Zea mays: one gene and its partner. The protein of the gene in region 2 interacts with the protein of the main gene of each other region in a pairwise test. Links are inferred from orthologs where the notes say so. Each region holds a gene or a part of one and is shown on either strand. Other genes may lie near its edges. The genes, in order: transcription factor BHLH42 and protein TRANSPARENT TESTA GLABRA 1.

Region 1 (4,596 bases), on a different chromosome or scaffold from region 2:
TTGCTGAATATTGAAAATAGTATAAGTTCAATGCAAATGAAGACTTACTTATTTGCTAAAACGTTGTTGTGATGCTAGAAGTGATTTTACTTTAGCTAGCATTGAATGGCAAAACAGTACTTCTTAAGGCTTATACAATAAAAACCATATAAAAAAGTAGTTTTAGAGGTGAATTTTAATACCTGTATACCTGCACTCTGATATTTGTTGCCACCAACATTTTTGATGTTCCACATGAAAAGCGTAATAAATGGAGAATTAGTTAGTACCTTCAATTCTCTATCATGGGGCAAAGAAGGGAATAATACTTTTGGATATCGATAAACAATTATTTGAGCTTCATACTCATATCTTGAAAGGAAAACAATGTTTTTAAGTTCAACTACAATCATAAGCTTATATTTTGTCATGCGTAGCTAACTACTCCCTCCGTTCTAAACTATAGGATGTTTTAAGTTTTTTTAGATATAATACTTTTATTGTATATCTAGATATAGACTATATATCTAAATACATAATAAGGTTATATATCTAGAAAAGACAGAACGAATTATAATTTGAAATAGAATAGGTATATGTTCATTAAGGTTATTTCTTTTCAAATTTATCCTTTTTCTAAAATCACTATAATTTTCACACACTGCAAACTACTCACTAGCTAGGGTCAAAAAGTGCTTTGACTTTGTTCAGTTTTTTTTTTTGCATAGTCTTGTGGGTGCAATTTTAACAAATATATATATATTTTCTATTGAAATATAGATGTGACAGCCCGTCCAAAATCTGTTCGAACGAGGAAGAGCCTGCATATACATAGCATCTCTATTATATATTCTTTCACATTTTATGTAAGAGAGGGTTAATAATCTACAGGTGCTATGTTTCAAAAAAAACGATAGTAAAACTAATTTTGTTGCATCACAATTCACAACACATGGGCCACAGTATGATGTTATTGAATGTGCCAAGTATATTTGCGACTAGAAGAGTACCAAACATTTTTTTAAAAAAAAAAAGAGATAGAAGAGAATGGAGACGGTATGCGTACGTACCCTAGCGAGAATTGCTCTTGAGAACACCTTGCTGTCAGCTTTGTTTGCACCACATAGCCACACATGAGCTCTCCTTACAAACGCCTCCCCGGGCAACCTGAAACGTGGAAGCACTACACATGTATATGACTTATACATGGAAGCTTCTCTCTTGTTACAACAACGAAAAAAAGAACATTATCTGTTTGTTATATGAAATTAAATGTTTGTGCTTTGACATTCGATAATTCATTGATGCATGCTGCATCAGCTATCCGGCTGATTGGATGGTTGAGCACAACAAACCAGGCGGATGCGAGCCTGGTCGGCTAGGTACGCCAATTTTGGCAGTATGAGTGGATGCAACTAAATAGCCTTAAAATATCTTGTTTTGCATCCACATATGCAACCCGTGTCTCTCGCGTATAGACAACCAAATAGAAGCTCGCACAAAGTCAATTGCACGCGGTGGTTCAGGATAAGACGATGCGAATAACGAATTAGACGATATATGATAATGTCAAACTAAGAAACGGGCTCTATAGTAATATGAAGAGACATTAGAGTAAATAAAATAGGACGGGACAACTGTTTTTGAATGTCATGTACGTATATATAATAGCTCAAAAAAGGTGGAAATAATAATTATCTTAGGAGTTTACTGGTAAGAAAAAACAATAATGTCGCCAAAAAAACATGTGTTCCGGTAATTTTCTATGATGGCCTTTTTGTATAATAGTTTACTGGTAAGATTTAGCTCGCCAGCAAGGACAATAATGGGTTTGTTTGGTTCAGTTTTTTCTGATCAGTTTTTTTGAGAATCTGGTTGTAGAGAGAATCTGGCTGTGGGAAAGATCTGAGTATCGTGGGATTACGTGCGGAGGAAAATGAAATGGTTCAAAGGGTTCAAGATCTAGATAGCGATGGAATTTATCGTGACGACTCGATCGATTATGTATTTATGTTGATTTTGAATGGTTTTTAGCGATTTTTATAGAAACAGACTGAAAAGCTGGGACGTTTGCTAATCCGCGGCAGCTTTTTATTGCCAAAAACTAAAAATTGCCCAAACAAACAGGGTCAATATTTAGAGGATCGTTGGTACATGCGGTGCTTATTAGAAGGAACGAACATTTGGTTCATCATCACCTGTGAAACAACATGCATGAGAAAAAAAAAGTATTAGTAAATATAGAACAGCATAGAGAGCCGGTCTATTTATTTGCATATCTTACACGTGGAGACCTTGAGCTCGATCGTTCGTTCCCTGTGCTGTGCTGTGCTGTGCTTCATTCTGTAGATACGTGAGGTAGCATGCAAAGCAAAGCATGTATGTATATAGGCTATAGCCGGTTTACCCGACGGCAGGAGGGAAGCAGTAGGAGGCGCACATGAGGTAGAACCACTCCGTCTCCGTCAGGTCCTCGGGCGCCAGCGCGGCGACGGGCCGGCGAGGCGGCGGCACCACCGCCACCTGCTGCTGGTGCTGCTGCTGTGGGTCGCCGACTCCTCCACCACCGTCGTAAGCGGCCTCCCCCGCCGCCAGCGAGTCGTAGAGCTCCTTGAGCTGCCGGCTGCGGCGCAGCGCCGTCTCCTCGTCCCCGGCGTCCTCCGCGCCCGCCGGCTGACGCACTGTCGTCATCGTCGTCTTGCGCGTCCTGATGGCGCCGTTGTAGTAGCCCTCCGCCCAGACCAGCGCGCTGATGAGCAGGGCCATGCATGCATGCGTGATCAGATCGGTTAGTCAGACAGCGCTTTAGCAAGGACGAGAGTTGGGACGGCGATGGAGCAGCAGGCAGGAAGAAGGCGTACCCTTGGCGCGGGCAGAGGCGCCAGAGGAGGCTGTACGTCCACCCCGTGCTCTGCGCCACCGACTGCAGCGCCTTCTGCGCGGCCTCGCCTCCGCTGCCGCCGGCCGCCATGGCTGGGATGGCTGCCTGCTGCTGCTGCTGCTGTGCTGTGTGCTGCTTCAGTGATCGAGCGCGTGAGCGAGTTGGTGAGGGTCGTCTGAGGCTTTGAGGAGGGAAAGGAGGGCAATGTACAACGCGTTGACTGACTGGTGGTGGTGGCTGGGCTTTGAGGAGGGGAGGGGATGGGAGGGGAAGGAGCGCGCGCCGCCAACTCATGCACCGTACCAAATCGCGAGGGCACGTGGGGTGGGGTGGGGAGGGGAAGGAGGAGGTCGGTCGGGGTAGCGCAAGTAGGTGCATGTGAAAGGAATTTGTTGGTTGGATCCGTCTGTTTAGTACTCCATACGGTGTCGTTTTATAGGAAACCAAACTTGTTTTTTAAGCTCAAGTTTATTCTAAATGGGAATCTCGTCGCACTCTTTCCAGCACTATCTTAGAGCATGTACAAACCTGAGCACTATCTTAGACAGCATGATACAATCCTAAGACCTACATCTTAAATACAGATAAAAGACACATTGTATGGAAAGTTGTGAAGAGACGGACTCTTCGCGAAGTGCTTGTCTCTTGTATTTTTTTCACTTAGCCCATTAGAGACCACTCAAGAGACTCCATATTAAATGGGTTGTACATGTCTTTATAGACTAACATATCAATTAAATACCGCAGCTCAATAACCAATAGAAGTTAGTAAAAAATATGTGAAGTGAAACAGATCACTATCAATAAAGGGTTCATACAGTTTTCAAGACCTTGGAAACCAGCCGACGTGGTTTCATCCCAATAAAACTCAATCCTCTTAGGGCATGTACAATAGGTATCTTAAGATGTATCTTAAAGTGTGTCTAGGGGGGTGAATGTGAAAAAACTTAAGACATTTATCTTGACGAAGACACAGTGTCTTAGCTCTATGTTCGAGACAGGAGACTAGCTGATTGATCACTTTAATTTATTGAATGCTCTGATTGGTACAATGAATATGGTAAGACACATGTTTTAGACATGACCATTGTATTATGTTGTGTTTTAGTTGTATCCTATATTTGGAGTACCGTACAACAGTGTCTAGGTTGTACATGCCCTTAAATACTATGTCATGTCATCAAAAATATTTAATGTGGCATATTATTAAATGGTTCCTTTAGTCGCTCTCCTAAACATGACTAAAATGTAGTCCCTAGAAATCCTATTTGGAATACTTATTTTAGTCGAAGTAGGAACCAAACACTCCAACTAGATGTACGGGCAATGCAAACAGAGGACCTTGACATCGTCCTGGTGAACACTCATTGACAGGCGCTCGTTGGCAGTGATGTTTCTCTCTGCAACAGTACGCTGTGTTGTGGTGATGTATAAAGCCTAGCTAGTTGTTATCACCTTTTTGCACGTACACGTACGGCCTAGCACGTACTGTTTTCTTTTTACCTGTGTACTGTATCACCTACTACCACAGTAGTAGCTAGCTAGCTCCAACCACTTGCTGTTTTTCCTGAATTCTGGGGCTGCACTGCTTCCACCCTCATCCTTCCATCCTGGGATACATTGCCAGTCTCCACAGCATCCCATTTCCGTCAGGCAGGCAGCCGGTGCCTTCTGATCCCAGATCTGTGCACAAACTGAAACCAGCAAGCAACTTTCTCTTGCCTCCATCTCGTCCC
Region 2 (4,503 bases):
CACAAGACTTGCTGGCACTATTGGGTACCTTGCGCCAGAGTATGCAGGTGAACATTCTATATTTTCTTACCAAGTTCATAGATGCCATGTTCAATTCAGTTGACAATCTAGCACATTACATCTAACCTACAACTACCTGTAATAATATCATTTAAGGGTTAAATATTAATAGCTTTCATGTGGAATGATTTCATTTCAAAGACCAAGCAGTCAAACACAATACATAAATGCATAATAATATAATGAAAACTTGCATATTACCATATTTCCTCTAAAAATGGCAATTTTGTAGTGATGATTATATTGTAGAAATCAGCTAACTTACTACTGTATTTTTCTTCCCTGGACCCTGGTGCATGTGCACACCCTTATAATTTGGCATCGCTCCTATGTGTAAGTACGTACTATTGGTACTTCGTACTTTAACCTTGAAAAAAAAAAGTTTGGTCTTCTCTAAGACTAGAAATTTATTGATTCTGTGCATGGAACTCAGCTCCTACATACCACATCAATGTAATATAACATTTAGACTGCTCATTCTATTATATTTTCAGTCTGAACTATCCTGATACTATAAACAATTATAAATTTAGAAATTTTAGCGCTTCTATGTGTATATATGTACATATACATGTTTGAAACTACACAATTCTATATCTTTTATAAACATATCAAGCAACACCTTGCGCGGAGCGCGAGCAATTTACTAGTTGACATTATGTTTAACCTATTTATGGAACCATTTACCTTCATTCAGCTAGCACAACACTAGCCTGAACTTCCTTGGTGAAAACTGGACCTTTTTCTCAAGTTCACAAAAAGAGTGTTCAATTCAGGACTGCATGTTTGCATTGGAAAGTGATAACATAGATCACCAATTATATATCGATTTAGCTTAAGTTCCAAGGAATTTTCAAATAAAGACGAACTTATTCTAAATTCCTCATACATGCATTTACTAAATACTGTATTTAGCACTTATAATCAGCACATACAGAAAAAGAAAGCAGCTCGTGTCCTTGTGGATAATTCATAATAGATGCGCAAAAAATAGCAACTTCCAGGCTTCATAGGACTAAAAAAATTAGGTTACCATATATGGTAATACTGACAGAGTTAGCTCTGTATGAATCTTCAGTAAAGTTGTACAATTACACTACCTCATGCCAATGTGTAACAATGTGCGTGATAGTCTTTATACCCCTTTTGGATGTAGATGTTCAAGACTGGAATTGGAAATAGGAATTCTAAATTCTGCTGTTTGGCTGGCTAAAGAATTCAGAGCTGGAATTAAAGTTCAATTCCTTGGAATTGAACTTTAACTAAAAAGTGTCTCTCACAATTCAGATCCAAGATTCTAGGTATTGTATGGAATTGCAATTCCAGATACACCCAAACAACATATTTGTATTGAACCTCATTTCCAATACTAGACAGATAAGGTATTGGATCTAATTCAATACCAACATCTCCAATATCTACATCCAAACAGACCCTTAGTTAAATCTAAATTTATTGACATAATCAACAGAAACTATATAGAAATGAAAGCATCAAACCAAAGATCACCATGATACCAACCTTGTCAGACCCTAAGAAGCTGGACCTTGTTCTCAAAGGCGATGGCCATCCAGTCCGGGTGCGCGGCCGCCCACTGAAGTTGGTTTATTTCGGCGCCTGCATCGTACACTAGCACAGGATCAATCCCCTCGGCGGGTACAGCCGCCGCCGTCTCAGGCAGTTCCCAGATCAATGCTTGCCCGTCGTCCCCAGCCGAACAGAGGTGCCTAGTGGCTTGCGGCGCCCACGCGACTGCGTTGGCGCACGCCCGGTGCCGGTGCAGCTCGGCCACCGGCACCCCGGGCGCACGTATGTCGAGCACGACGACGGCGCTGCTGTCCATGAGCAGCGCGGCCATATAGCGGAGGTCAGAGCGGTTCCACGCCAGCCTTAGTAGCGGCGTGTCGGGGCGGGGGCTCTCGTAGACGATGGTGGAGTGCTCCTTGTCCCGAAGGTCGAAGACGCGGACGGAGCCGTCGGCCGATACGGAGGCGAAGACCCCGGCCTCCCCCCAGGCGATGTCGTGCACGGCCTTGTCGTGCGCGATGAGCTGCGTCTCCACGACCCCGCGATCGATGTCCCAGACGGTGCAGGTGGTGTCGATGGAGGCGGTCCCGATACGGCGGGGCTCGACCTCGTTCCAATCGAAGGAGGTGAGGGGTGCGCAGAACTCGGAGGAGGCCTTGCGGTTGTCGAGAACGGAGCGGAGCTCGGGCGCGGGGGCGGTGTCGGAGAGGTCGTCGAGCGGGGTGTGCCAGATGCGGAGCGTGTCGGCGGAGGAGGCGAGGAGGGACGGCGCGGCGGCGCGGGGGTTGAACTGGAGCTTGGTGGGTGGGTAAGGGTGGTCGAAGGAGAGCGCCGGGAGGGCGCGGAAGGAGGCGGCGGAGGGGCGGACGGGGTCGAAGGAGAGCAGGGAGACGCGGTTGTGGAGGTCCTCGAGGAAGCTGCCGGAGGCGAGGACGGGCGCGACGGGGGAGAAGGCGAGCGCGTAGATCGAGTGCGGGAGCTCGCAGGTGAAGGCGTGCGGGTTCGGCGTCTCCGGCCCCGACGACGAGGCGACCGAGGACGGCGGCTTGGGTGGGTCCATTGAGTGGAGAATTCGGGTCGATAGATGTGGGGGCGAAGCTGCGCGGGGGCCGATCCTGCTGGGACTTGAGAGGTGATAAAAGGAGCGACGCGCGCGTGCGAGCGGTAGGTAAACGGCGGCCGGGCACGGGGGTTGAACGATGCGGGCGGCGGCTCGCCGGGCTGAGGACTGAGGTTGTGCCGTTGTGGTAGAAGTGGAACTGGAACGTGGGATGACGTGGGTAGAGTTTACCAAAAACCAGTAGTCAACGAAAACGGTTTACCTCTAGGAAACCGACGGTTTTTGCTAAAACTGAACGATTTAAATTTTAAATTAAAAAACTTTCGAAAATCTGTAAATCAACAAATCAGTAAATAGTTAAAACCCGGTTTTCGTCAGTTTCTAAATTTTTCGACCGGTTTATATTCTTCAAATTAAACAAAAAAATGCTGATTAATTTTTTACCGGTTTTTCGTTGTTTTTACAAAAATGCTGATTAATTTTAAAAAAATAAAATTAAATATAAGATGTACCAGGAGAACACGTGGTTATATCATATTTTTTATTTTTTTATAAAAAAAATAAAAAAATACGTTTTGGACGAATTTTTAAAAGTCGACTCGAAAACGTTACCGATAATGGGAATCTCGACCGGTTTTTGTAATCCTTCCCGGCGACGAGTCAGCCGTCGTCTGGTCAAAGTTTGTTGCCCATGTCACCGGATCCCTGGTCAGGTCATTTCGTGGACTGGGAATCTTTGGTTCGTTTCTAGCGCCGGGGACATGAGTTCGTCGACGTCGACTCCATGGTTCATTTCTAGCGCCGGGGACATGCGCATCTCATCCTGGCAGGATGCGCATGCTCAGATAACTTTGATGAAGAGCACGTAATCGACGAATAACAACAACACATCCTTCACGATATTCGATAAGGCTTGGGCAACAAACAGGCATAAGAAGCATACAACATTAAGCGAAACAAACCACATGATGAGCATAAATTAACATCAGAGCCACTTAAATAGAGCACGTTTCTCTATTACTAAAGCAGATAGGTGTACAAGAAACCTGAGTCTATAGGCAGACTTTTTTTTTGAATAACCAAGCATCAAATGTCATTGTATTCCGACAAGTCAAAAAACTCATGGCGACATTACTCTCACGAGCGATCTTCGAAACCATCTCCTTATTCATGTGATCTTAGCGCTGGGAAGTGAACAATGCGCGGCTGACAATACCAGTGGCCTCAATGTAGCGGTCAACACAACGTGATATGCAGCTGCTCTCGCTTCCACTCAAGCTTGATCCTGGCTTGGTCACGCACTTTTCAAAGCACTTGTTCCCGACGGTCTGCAAGACAGATCAACACCACCTGTGAGCTTAAGAAATTTCACCATATGAAATGGCAGGAATTTCCTAGATTCATCCTTTTGCGCTTTCGTGTGTAATCTTTGTTTATTTAAGTTTGTAGAGGCAATCAGCATCATCCTATTTGTTTTTTAATAAAAACTTGGCAACATGTGGAAAAAAGACTGGCAATTTCCTAGATACATCGTGTTGTCCCCTCAGGGCTGTGAATCTTCCAAGGCAACTAAATAGTTTTTAAATTCGCTCATGTGACCCCCAAAGAAGAACTAGTCAATTGTTCGGGCTCAACACATTGCACGTGACCCAAGGCGAAAAATTAATACTGGTGGCACAGAAACAAGGAAGAAACTTCCAATATAATTGGCTAATTGCATGTATACTGCTTGTTATGTCATCGTTTCAGGCTGAAAGCACCGCCTCAACAAAAAAATACATTTTCCTCAAAAAAAAATACATTCACTCCATTATTAAACACAGCTGAAGAAGAATCAACCATGGCCAAAAGGTAAA

What was found.
Region 1: the proteins of protein TRANSPARENT TESTA GLABRA 1 (region 2) and transcription factor BHLH42 interact in binary tests that used the Arabidopsis thaliana proteins (3 or more experiments, as listed by UniProt). The link is inferred for Zea mays from reciprocal best matches to the Arabidopsis thaliana genes TTG1 and TT8.

What each region holds. Positions count from the first base shown.
Region 1 is NC_050102.1:19,933,316-19,937,911, reverse strand, and holds the start of transcription factor BHLH42, read right to left. Parts: upstream 3,096-4,596; 5' UTR 2,951-3,095; coding exon 2,841-2,950; intron 2,729-2,840; coding exon 2,387-2,728; intron 1,147-2,386; coding exon 1,050-1,146; intron 198-1,049; coding exon 183-197; intron 1-182. UniProt on the Arabidopsis thaliana protein: Transcription activator, when associated with MYB75/PAP1 or MYB90/PAP2. Involved in the control of flavonoid pigmentation. Plays a key role in regulating leucoanthocyanidin reductase (BANYULS) and dihydroflavonol-4-reductase (DFR).
Region 2 is NC_050100.1:204,509,319-204,513,821, forward strand, and holds the start of protein TRANSPARENT TESTA GLABRA 1, read right to left. Parts: upstream 2,852-4,503; 5' UTR 2,648-2,851; coding exon 1,586-2,647; 3' UTR 1,582-1,585; intron 1-1,581. Other genes in the region: pale aleurone color 1, read right to left, coding at 3,826-3,975.